2 linked regions of the Macaca fascicularis genome follow. The protein of the gene in region 2 interacts with the protein of the main gene of each other region in a pairwise test. Links are inferred from orthologs where the notes say so. Each region holds a gene or a part of one and is shown on either strand. Other genes may lie near its edges.

The links.
Region 1: the proteins of PADI4 (region 2) and ANXA4 interact in binary tests that used the Homo sapiens proteins (3 or more experiments, as listed by UniProt). The two-hybrid records come from large-scale screens. The link is inferred for Macaca fascicularis from reciprocal best matches to the Homo sapiens genes PADI4 and ANXA4.

The regions. Positions count from the first base shown.
Region 1 is NC_088387.1:52,196,972-52,202,560, forward strand, and holds the start of ANXA4 (annexin A4), read right to left. Parts: upstream 3,905-5,589; 5' UTR 3,863-3,904; intron 1-3,862. UniProt on the Homo sapiens protein: Calcium/phospholipid-binding protein which promotes membrane fusion and is involved in exocytosis.
Region 2 is NC_088375.1:217,809,808-217,815,409, forward strand, and holds the start of PADI4 (protein-arginine deiminase type-4), read right to left. Parts: upstream 3,918-5,602; 5' UTR 3,892-3,917; coding exon 3,800-3,891; intron 1-3,799. UniProt on the Homo sapiens protein: Catalyzes the citrullination/deimination of arginine residues of proteins such as histones, thereby playing a key role in histone code and regulation of stem cell maintenance.

The DNA of each region.
Region 1 (5,589 bases), on a different chromosome or scaffold from region 2:
TACTAAAAACACAAAAATTAGCTGGGTGTGGTGGTGGACGCCTGTAGTCCCAGGTACTCAGGAGGCTGAGGCAGGAGAATCGCCTGAACCTGGGAGGCAAAGTTTGCAGTGAGCTGAGATGGCGCCATTGCACTCCAGCCTGGGTGACAAGGAGAGCCTCTGTCTCAAAACATTAAAAAAAAAAAAAAAAAAAAAAGCATAGTTTCTCAAAGTGAGGCCCGAATCACAGTCATCCAGGGAGCTGCTTAAATAAGCAGAATCTGCATGTTGTATAAGCTTCCTGGGTGATTTTGATGCACCCTGAAGTTTGGGAACTATAGCTTTAGAAGTTACCTGAGCTTAACCTGCTAACCCTTTCCAGCTCCATCAGAAAAGGGCTGTGGACCTCTGCCTAACCACCTCTAGTGAGAGAGCTCTCGCCAACATCAAGGCTGCCCAGTCTGTGGGTTTTAAAAGCCACTTCTTCAGATTCAACCAGAGCCTATCACCCAGCTCTGCCAAACACCTCGAAGAGCGAGTTTATTCCCTTGTCCACACGTCAAACACCTCTGGCATTTAGGGCTGCTGGCTAGCATGCACCCCCCACACTCACTGCAAACTTCTCTCTCTTTTTTTTCTTTTTATTTAGAGACAGGATCTCACTCTGTCACCCAGGCTGGAGTGCAGTGGCACAATCATAGCTCACTGCAGTCTCAAACTCCTGGGCTCAAGGGATCGTCCTACCTCAGGCTCCCAAGTAGCTGGGACAACAGGTGCACTCCCTTTCCAGCTGAAACAGTTCTAGTTCATCCAACCCCATTTCACATCAGCTTGACAAGAAGAAAATAAGAAAAAGAAAAACATTTGTTCAAGATTTAGTTAACAACCTACGAAGCCACAACTCCAAATTACTATGAACCAAGCACTGATGGAGTTATGGTAGGGCGGAGAGGATAAGAGAACAGGCTTTTGGGCCGGGCGCGGTGGCTCAAGCCTGTAATCCCAGCACTTTGGGAGGCCGAGTCGGGCGGATCACGAGGTCAGGAAATCGAGACCAGCCTGGCTAACACGGTGAAACCCCGTCTCTACTAAAAAAATACAAAAAACTAGCTGGGAGAGGTAGCAGGCGCCTGTAGTCCCAGTTACTCAGGAGACTGAGGCAGGAGAATGGCGTAAACCTGGGAGGCGGAGCTTGCGGTGAGCTGAGATCCGGCCACTGCACTCCAGCCTGGGCCACAGAGCCAGACTCCGTCTCAAAAAAAAAAAAAAAAAAAAAAGAGAACAGGCTTTTGTATCCTGGCAGCTGGATTTAAGCTTTAGTTCACAAATGGTCTGAACTTGACCAAGGATGATGATATGGAACCTTAGGATCCTCAGCTGTAAACCAATGTTAATAACCCCACTGCAGGTTGAAGTGAAGATTAGATAAGACAGTCTAAGATGAGTGTTATTAAAAGTTGCTCCAGGGAGGACACTGCAGTGTCTATCAAACTGCCTCCATACGTAGCCCTAATTGCAGTGAAAACAAACCCTCAAGGGCTAGGTTTGGACCAAATCGCAGCCCAAATCCCAAGCAAAATGTTTTCCAGGTTTCTTGTTTTAGATTTAAAAGGTATATAATTTTTGGATTCTACTTCAAAATATATCTGTGATTGTTTTAGTATAAAAAGTGTTTTTAATCTGAAATATTTGTGTAAAAATGACAAAGAAAATCTCCTCCTCTTGCTTTTGTTTGTTTGCTTGCTTGTTTGTTTATCACCCAGGCTGGAGTGCAGTGGTGTGATCATAACTCACTGTGGCCTTGAACTCCTGGGCTTAAGCGACTCTCCCTCTCCAGCCTCCCAAGTAGATGGGACTACAGGTGGGCGTTACCATGCCCAGCTAATTTTTAAACTTTTTGTAGAGATGGGGTCTTGCTATGTTGTCCAGGCCTCCCCACTGCTTGTTTATTCTGGAACTTCAGGTACTCCCTGGCACACTGCCCACCATCCCCAGTGCCTGCCACTCATCTTGATCTCCCTCGGAGAAAAGCAGGCTTAGTCTACAATCAGATAATAAGTGAGCTCAGGAAAACAAAAGAGTGGCTGGACATAAACAAAGAAACATGCCACTGGACATGAGCCTGGGGATGACCAGGAGACTCACCCTTTAAATACTAAGGCCTGGAGTGGTACACGGCTTGACTGTGCGGGTTACCCTCTAAATTGCTTGCAGAGAAAAATGATCCCTAACCAAATGCAAGAACATCCAGGAGGGAAATTCATAGAAGCCCTTGATCCAGTAGCTGTGTGCCTGTGCCTGTGCCTGTCTACGTGTGAGTGGGGGCAGGGGTGTACTTGCGTCTATATCCTCAATCAACAGAAATCTGACATGAGCTGAATGAGGATGGCCTTGGCCTGATAGGGCTCTGGGGAGTCAGCAGTTCTTGGGTCACTGGGGTTATCCATTTTCTTATTCCTGTCCACTTCCTCTCCTACTTGCTCTTCCATCTGTGTCTGAGAATTCCCTGGCAACGAAAAACCTAGGGTTTGGATGCTGGGCATGGTGGCTCATGCCTGTAATCCCAGCACTTTGGGAGGCTGAGGCAGGTGGATCACCTGAGGTCAGGAATTCAAGACCAGCCTGGCCAACATGGCAAAACCCCGTCTGTACTAAAAATACAAAAAAATAGCCGGGCACAGTGTCGGGTGCCTGTAGTCCCAGCTACTCGCGAAGCTGAGGCAGGAGAATGGCGTGAACCCGGAAGGCAGAACTTGCAGTGAGCCGAGATCGAGCCACTGCACTCCAGCCTGGGCGACAGAGCAAGACTCCATCTCAAAAAAAAAAAAAAAAAAAAATCTGGGGTTTGATTATCAATAGTTACCAGTTACCTCCTGAGTAGCTGGGACTATAGGCACGTGGTGGCATGCACGTGTAGTCTCAGCTACTCAGGAGGTTGAGGTGGGTGAAACACCTGAGCCTGGGAGACAGCGTGAGCTGTATCCAGGCACTGCACTCCAGCCTGGGCTTCAGAAGTGACACTGCGTCTCAAAACAAAACAAAAAATTAAAGGGCAAACAGTAGGGAATGGAAAGGGGTGGTGGGGTGTCATGGACTGGTGGGCAGGAGAATGGATAACTTGGAGAGCGCCACCCTATCTATCCTTCCCACTGTCAGCAGGAGAGAGCAGATGCCGAGTTCCAAGAAAAGCACGAGTTATGCAGGACCCACTCTGCTCTATCAGCTCAGAAGACTTGCATTGACCCGGGGGGCACTTCTGCCGGCAAATTGTTGAGAAGCAATCCTCTTTGGCCCCAAAGTCTCCAGCTGGTCAAAGTCATGACAAACTGGTGAGACTGAGCCACCAGCCAACTCAAGTCATGGACCCTATAATGATCAGACTCCGATGTGCCGGGCACTGTGCCGAGGGCATTAGACACACAAGAAGGTAAGACAATAGTAAGGATCTAGGAGAAAGGAATAAGTTTCTTAAATGGAGTAAAGAAAGAATCAAAAAGTAAACTGTAAGAGGTGTTAGGCGCAGTTAGTTACGGTCAAGATTATCTCGGTCCTTTCTTTTTGATGCCGGAGTCCAGCACACGGACCGAATAAATAGCTGCCGTGGTCTCTGATCCGCGTCCTGAGCTGTGTAAGCGGCCCTGGATGTCTGGATGGTGCCAGTGGTTAGGCGCCGCACTCGCCTCCCTCTCGCCCACCCGGAGCGAGTCCCGGGCCCGCTGGCCCCTTCCACCCTGTGGCCGCCCGGGCTTGCCCGCAAGCCGGCGCCGAGCACCCACTCTAGGGCGCAGCGCGGAGCCGGGCATCCCCGCGAAACCCTCCCGGGCCATGTTCCCCGTTCCCCGAGCCCAGGACCCCCGGCCCGGAGCCCCTTTACCCCTCATACCGAGGCCGGGCTGCGCTCCTCCTCTGCGGCTGCGGAGGTCACACCCTGCTGAGGGCCAGACGGCGGGTCTTATCCGGGACGGATCCGCCCCGCTTTGGGGTGGAGACTGAGCCCGAGTTCCTGGTTTTTCCTCTGCCCACGAGACCGGAAAATCCCTCTCTAGGCGAAGCGCACCTGGGGCCCCGGGCCGGGACAGCAGCGCCCGGCGCTCTCTGAGGGGCGGGCCTCGACCCTCGGCGGGTCCGCCCTCCACACGTGCCCGCGCCCCAGGCCGGCCGGATCCCCCGGCCTCGCCCCCTGCCCGGATTGGATAATGCCGCCAGTACCGCCAGCCCCGCTCCTGGTCCCGCAGGGTGGGAGCAGTTGGATTCTCGGGGTCCCCGTGTCCTGGGCGCTCCACACCCTCGGAGGGCCGAGCCCGGGCCACCTCGCCAGTTCCTCCCTGCGCCTGCCGCGCCCATCTCCGCGCGGAGCCGCAGTCCCGCCTCGAATCCACGCTTCCCCCAACCCCGGAAAACCGTTTCTCTCCCAACGGCAGGCTAGTGCTGAGCCCGTGGCCGGAAAAGTAGAAAGTGAAATCTGAAGGGTACTTTTCATTTCCCTCTTTTACAGGAAAACACATTCCCAAAAGTTTCCAGCACTTCCCTCTTCCCTGTGCGCCCAGCAGGCCGGGAAAGCTTTGGAGTAGGAGTTAGGAGCAGCTCCGGATCTTTCTCTATACTCCTGTGAGTGACTGAGGTTTAGACACTGTCCGTGGCTCCCAGGTTCGACTTGGCGCGGCGCTCATCCCTTGTAATAGTGTTGTGTTTTTATATCTGCTTCCCCTGCTGGACACAGCCTCTTGAAGCCACCAACTAGGGCTAGGTCGTCTTAGCACCCATGCCCAGCACCGATTCCACCACGTAGTGAATGCTTGCAGAATGAATCCGTTGAGTCTATAGGCACATTCAATTTTTTTAAAAAACAGAGAATAGCCCGTTTGGGGAGTGTTTTCTATCCGACACATCAAAATATAAGTGGTTAATGGCACCCTTAAAGCTGGAGAGGTAACATTAAATTATTTCATTAAGATGTAATTTTAAAAGGTGGTTTAATATGGTTTAGAGCATGGGTTTTAGGATCAGACTGATTTGGATACTAAAACTGGTTCTGCCTCTTTTGTCTGCATGTGATAACTTAAATTAAGGCTGGGAACGGTGGCTCACGCCTGTAATCCCAGCACTTTGGGAGGCCAGGGCAAGTGGATCGCTTGAGCCCAGGAGTTCGAGACCAGCCTGGCCAACGTGGTGAAATCCCATATCAAAACACACACACACACACACACACACACACACACACACAAATTAGCTGGGTGTGGTGGCATGCGCCTGTAGTCCCAGCTATTCAGTAGGATGAGGTGGAAGAAACCCCCAAGCCGGAGAGGTGGAGGCTGCAGTGAGCTGAGACTGCGCCACCGCACACCGGCCTGGGCAACAGAGCGAGACACTGTCACGGAAAAAAAAAGAAAAAATAAGTAAAATAACTAGCCGGGCGCGTAGCCACGCCTGTAGTCCCAGCTACTGGCCAGGCTGAAGCAGGAGGATCACTCTAAGCCCAGGAGGTCAATGTTGCAGTGAGCTATGACTGCACCACTGCACTCCAGCCTGGGCGACAGAGTGAGACCTTGTCTCAAAACAAAAACAAAAACAAAACAAAACAAAAAATTAAAGGGCAAACAGTAGGAAGAA
Region 2 (5,602 bases):
ACTGCCCTTTGCAGTTGGCACCTCCTGGACCCCCACTCCTTCTAGGCCTTTACCAAATCCTTTGGAAGCTGAATGAGCTCTGCCCACAGGGAGCAGTGCCCAGGGGGGTCCACTCCACAGCATTTGGAGGCCAGGTGTGCTGGGAAGTAGGGGGCGTTTAGGGTCAGACAGTCCTGGCTTTGCCACCTTTAACTTTTTTTTTTTCTTTTTGAGACAGAGTCTCACTCTGTTGCCCTTGCTGGAGTGCAGTGGTGCAATCTTCCCTCACTGCAACCTCCACCTCCCAGGTTCAAGCAACTCTTGTGCCTCAGTCTCCTGAGTAGCTGGGATTATAGGCATGTGCCACTACTCCCATCTAATTTTTTTTTTTTTTTTTGAGACAGAGTCTCTGTCGCCCAGGTTGGAGTTCAGTGGCATGATCTCGGCTCACTGCAGCCTCTGCTTCCTGGGTTCAAGCAATTCTCCTGTCTCAGCCTCCCAAGTAGCTGGGACTACAGCTGCGCACCACCATGCCCGGCTAATTTTTGTATTTTTAGTCGAGACAGGGTTTTACCATGTTGGCCAGGATGGTCTTGATCTCCTGACCTTGTGATCCGCCCGTCTCTGCCTCCGAAAGTGCTGGGATTACAGGCGTGAGCCACTGTGCCTGGCCATCATAATGCTTTATTTATTCTGTCCTGTGCATCATGGCATGGTTCCTAACTTTTTTGTATTTTTAGTAGAGACGGGGTTTCCCTATGTTGGCCAGACTGGTCTCGAAATTCTGGCCTCAAGTGATCTGCCCGTCTTGGCCTCTCAAAGTGCTGTGACTACAGGCGTGCGCCACCGCACCCGGCTTGCCACCTTTAATTGATGTGACCCTCGGGTAGGTATTTTTGCCTCTTGTTTTTGAGACAGAGTCTCACTCTGTCGCCCAGGCTGGAGTGCAGTAGCCCAATCTTGGCTCACTGCAACCTCTGCCTCCCGGGTTCCTGACTTTGGGGACAGAAAGAATGGCTTGAGCAAAGGTATGGAGGTATGCATATGTGGGTGGAGGTAAGGGGGGAGTGGCCCTCCCACCTATGTGGTTCATGAAGAGGCTGATGGCTGCTCAGGAGATGGGAGGGAGGCACTGTCTGGGGCTATGTTAGGAACAGATAAGAAGCAACAGGAAGGGCTGGACTGGGGACCCATGGGGAGAGAGGAGGGTCCTAGAGTCATGCTGCCTGGGTTGAGTCCTGTCTCCCCTACTTACTAGCTGTGTGGCTTGAGGTGGGTTACTTAACTTCTTGGAGCCTCCGTTTCCTCTTCTATAAAATGGGAATAACAACATTAACAGCCTCCCGAGGCCGTTGAATGAGTTGAATGTAGTAAGTGTGATGTAAATATTAGCCATTGTTATGTGAGATGTTCAGGGGATAGAGTGACAGGGCTCAATGTGTAGCTGAAGGAGGAGAAAAGAAGGGTTTCGAGGCACCTGGGAACTCCAGAGTCCCCATCATTTCTGGGAGAAATGAGCAGTGCCTTCCTCTCTGCCCAACCCTGACCAGCTGTCCACCCACCTCTCCAGGGCCAGAGGAAGCACCTGTGATCTTGATCACTACTCCCAGACGCTGGGTAGAGGGTTAGCCTGCGCATGCTGGGCGAGGCCCTGTCATTTCCTCCACACTCATCCTCAGAGGAGTTGCGGGTGCCTCAAACGATGTCAGGTGATTTTCTTTTTCCTTTTCTCCCCAACTTCTTGGTCTCCTGCCTCCCTCATGTGGCCCTGGGAGACCATCTGATATTTACTGCTGTTATCTGGCAGCTGGGGCTCAGGCAGCAAGTGACACTTGCAAAGAAATGTCCCTGGCCGGGCGCGGTGGCTCAAGCCTGTAATCCCAGCACTTTGGGAGGCCGAGACGGGTGGATCACGAGGTCAGTAGATCGAGACCATCCTGGCTAACACGGTGAAACCCCGTCTCTACTAAAAAAAATACAAAAAACTAGCCGGGCGAGGTGGTGGGCGCCTGTAGTCCCAGCTACTCAGGAGGCTGAGGCAGGAGAATGGTGTGAACCTGGGAGGTGGAGCTTGCAGTGAGCTGAGATCAGGCCACTGCACTCCAGCCTGGGCGACAGAGCCAGACTCCGTCTCAAAAAAAAAAAAAAAGAAATGTCCCTGACACTCCTATGGGCACCATTCTAGGGCCACCGATGCCCAGCCTGGGCTGGGGAAGCCAGGGGCAACCACTCCTATTCCTGACAACAGTAATTGTTGCAGGATAATTCAGGAATCAGAGAGACCGAGGGGTTGAGGAGGATTTATTATTTAGGTGCACTGGCTCAGTCGGATTCACATTTAAAAAGACCGAGCCCTGAACAAAGAGTTAAGTTATATTTTAAGCATTTCACAGGGTGGGGAGAGATCTGTGCAGGGGGAAAGAAATAAAGACAGTTATTTAATTGAGACATGCATTATATTATTTTTTACTTTTTAAGGAAAGACATGTTTTATGGCTTGAGTGTATCTGTCTAGTGGCCTTGCAGCTGCACAGCTAGAGAAACGGGGTCTTCACTGTGCCTGGGAAAGGAGCAGCAATAAGGCTTCCTAGCCACAAAAAAAACCAGGCAGTTCATTTTTAAGGGACTCCAGTTCTTTTTTTTTTCAGGGAAAATTGTTTTTGTTTGTTTGTTTGTTTGAACACAGAGCTGAGTTTCTGCTTACACATTTTAAAATTTCTTTTAATTCCTGTTCTACAATAACAACAATGACCCTGCACACTCCCTGAGAGTGTTCCTCCACTCTCTTGTTTAACCCAGACCCTGCCACAGGGCATATGGCAAACAGCGTTTGTTAAATGAGTGAATAAAAACTACCAGGAGCCGGGCGCGGTGGCTCACGCCTGTAATCCCAGCACTTTGGGAGGCCGAGGCGGGTGGATCACAAGGTCAGGAGATCGAGACCACGGTGAAACCCCGTCTCTACTAAAAATACAAAAAATTAGCCGGGCGCGGTTGTGGGCGCCTGTAGTCCCAGCTACTCGGGAGGCTGAGGCAGGAGAATGGCGTGAACCCGGGAGGCGGAGCTTGCAGTGAGCCGAGATCGCGCCACTGCACTCCAGCCTGGGCGACAGAGCGAGACTCCGTCTCAAAAAAAAAAAAAAAAAAAAAAAAACTACCAGGGATGGGCCCACCACTGTGCTAAGTACTCAACCAACATTTGCACATTTTTTCATATTGAATTCCTATAACCAGCCCGTGATGTGAGTATTATCCCCATTTCACAGATGAGGAAACTGAGGCTCAGTTGCTCAAGGCCTCTCAGCTAGCCAACAGCAGGTCCAGGCTTCCTACCTCAGTCTCTGCCACGCCAGAGAGCTCCGTTTCACCATCCCCACCCACACTATTACACACCCACGGAGAAGCTTAGCTAAGAGATGTGGGGTAACAAACTGTGCTGTGAACCAGGAGGCCCAGGGGCTAAACTTACTTCCAGGGCACACTTGCTGTGTGACCTTGAGCAAATCACAGACCCTCTGTAAGTTTCTGTTGCCTCGATGAAGACAGGAAGATGGCTGGCCTAGTTTGCCCCACAATAATTTATCTGTGGTGTGGTCCTGGGGAATTTGCACTTGTACATGGCAAAAAACCCACAGCCATGAGACTGGCACTTCCCACGGCTGCTGGGATCTTCTCTCTCCAGCTGCTCCCCTGGCAGTGGCTGCAGAGGCTGGAGCCTGGAGCCTGGAGCCTGGGCCAAACACATGCTCTGTGTCAGTAGAACTGGCTCATCCAGCATCTCCTGACCTGCCCCCAAAACCCCAGAAGGTCCCCCGCTCACCTGCAGACGTCAAGCTGAGTCAAGGTGCCCAGCACACACACGGCATGGGTGGGCTGCTCTGGGGTCACACGGATCAATGTCCCCTGGGCCATTGTCTGGTTAGCTGGTCCCTCTGGCTGTAGGAAGCCCCCGGGCTGGTTCCTTTATACCGCCCAGCGGAGGCCATGAGTCAGCACCTGCGGTCTGTGGCCCAGAGGCTCAACCCCTCCCCACTCAGGTCAGGGGTGTGGGCTCTCAAAATCTCCTCTGCCCTGGGGCTGCCCCTTGGACCTCTAGGTGGGTGTCAATGCTGGTACCAGTGGCAGGGTGGCTCTGTCAGTTTCCTGAGAAGGATGGATGGCTCAGAAAGCGTGGGGTGGAGTCCAGGCTGAGGGGTTGGGTCCCAGTCCTACGTGCCCGTAGCCCCATCCCTGCCTGGAGGCCCTGAACACCTTGATCTATCCAATCTCACCTATGTCAAACAGGGGTATCAGAAAGGAGAAGGTGGGAAAAGCAGGGAGATTTTAGGTAAGCGATCATAGGCCAGGCTACACGTTCAAAGAGCAACCAGGCTTGGGACAAGTCTCTCCACCTGGGCCACCCACATGACAGCTCACATTCTTGGTATTTTCTCTACGCCAGGCATGTTTTCCTGCACCACATGGAATAGCTCATTAAGACAAACTTGTGAACTAGGTAGTACCATTATCCCCTTATTTCACCCTCATAGTAGCCCTCTGAGGTTGGTGCCATTATTGTACCCATTTTACAGATGAGAAAATGGAGGTCCAGAGCACTTCCACAGCTCGAGAGTGGTAGGGCCAGAATTGGAACCAAAGGTGTCCAGTTCCAGAGTGTGACATTCATTAGCTGCCTGTCTGTATGACACGTGCTTTCCAGACTGTATCACAGCTACATCTCGCTACAAGATATAGATGGGCTTATTATTACAATCCATTTTACAGAAGGAAAATTGAGGCTCAGAGAGTAAAAGTGACTAGCTCTTGCCCAAAGTGCCAGAGCCAGCATGCAGTAGAGCTGGGAGGAGATGAGCTTCCTGGCGTGGAAGCTGATGTTCTCTGCATGCTCCAGGATACCTGCCTCTTGCCAGGGCCTCTGGCTGTCAGATCAGACAGTGCAGGTGTGGGCCACGCCTGCCAGGGGGACGCCCATTCGGCCACAGAGATGTGGCTGCACCTGGGCCGTTGGTACCAGGCGCTACCTTTAATAAGGCAATTGGCGGGTGGCAGACGGGTCTCAACAAGGAGCACTCAGAGGATGCATGCATGGGGGTCTGGCGTGAACATAGAGCGTTCGGCAGGTTGGATATTTTGTGTTCATTTCTGTTTGCTTGCTTTGGCTTTGAAGCAAAGAATTTGCCTCATTAATTCAGAGCCAGGCTGTGGAATCAAGCAGGCTTTAGTTCAAATCCTGCCCCATGTCAACATCCCCGTGGAGTGGGTCCTATCAGGATGCCCATGTGTAGATGGGCCACAAAGACTTAGAGAGATTGAGTGAGACCCCCAAGGTGTCACAAGCCCTACAGTGGGGATCTGAATTCAGACCACCTTCTCTAGGCTCAAAGCTTATCTTCTGTACCAGCAGATGATGACGTGGCCAGGTCTGACGTTCTGACGCATCTACGTGACTGCCTGCACACAGTAAGTCTTAATAAACCCGATTTCTCTGGCTGACCGCATGATTAGAACTAGTTTGAGTTTCTACTGGAAAGTGGCAGGAGGGAGCTGCCCGTTGTTAAGAGTTGGGAGGGCCCTTAGAGAACACCCAATCCAGTCCTTGTTCTGCAGAAGGGGAGACTGAGGC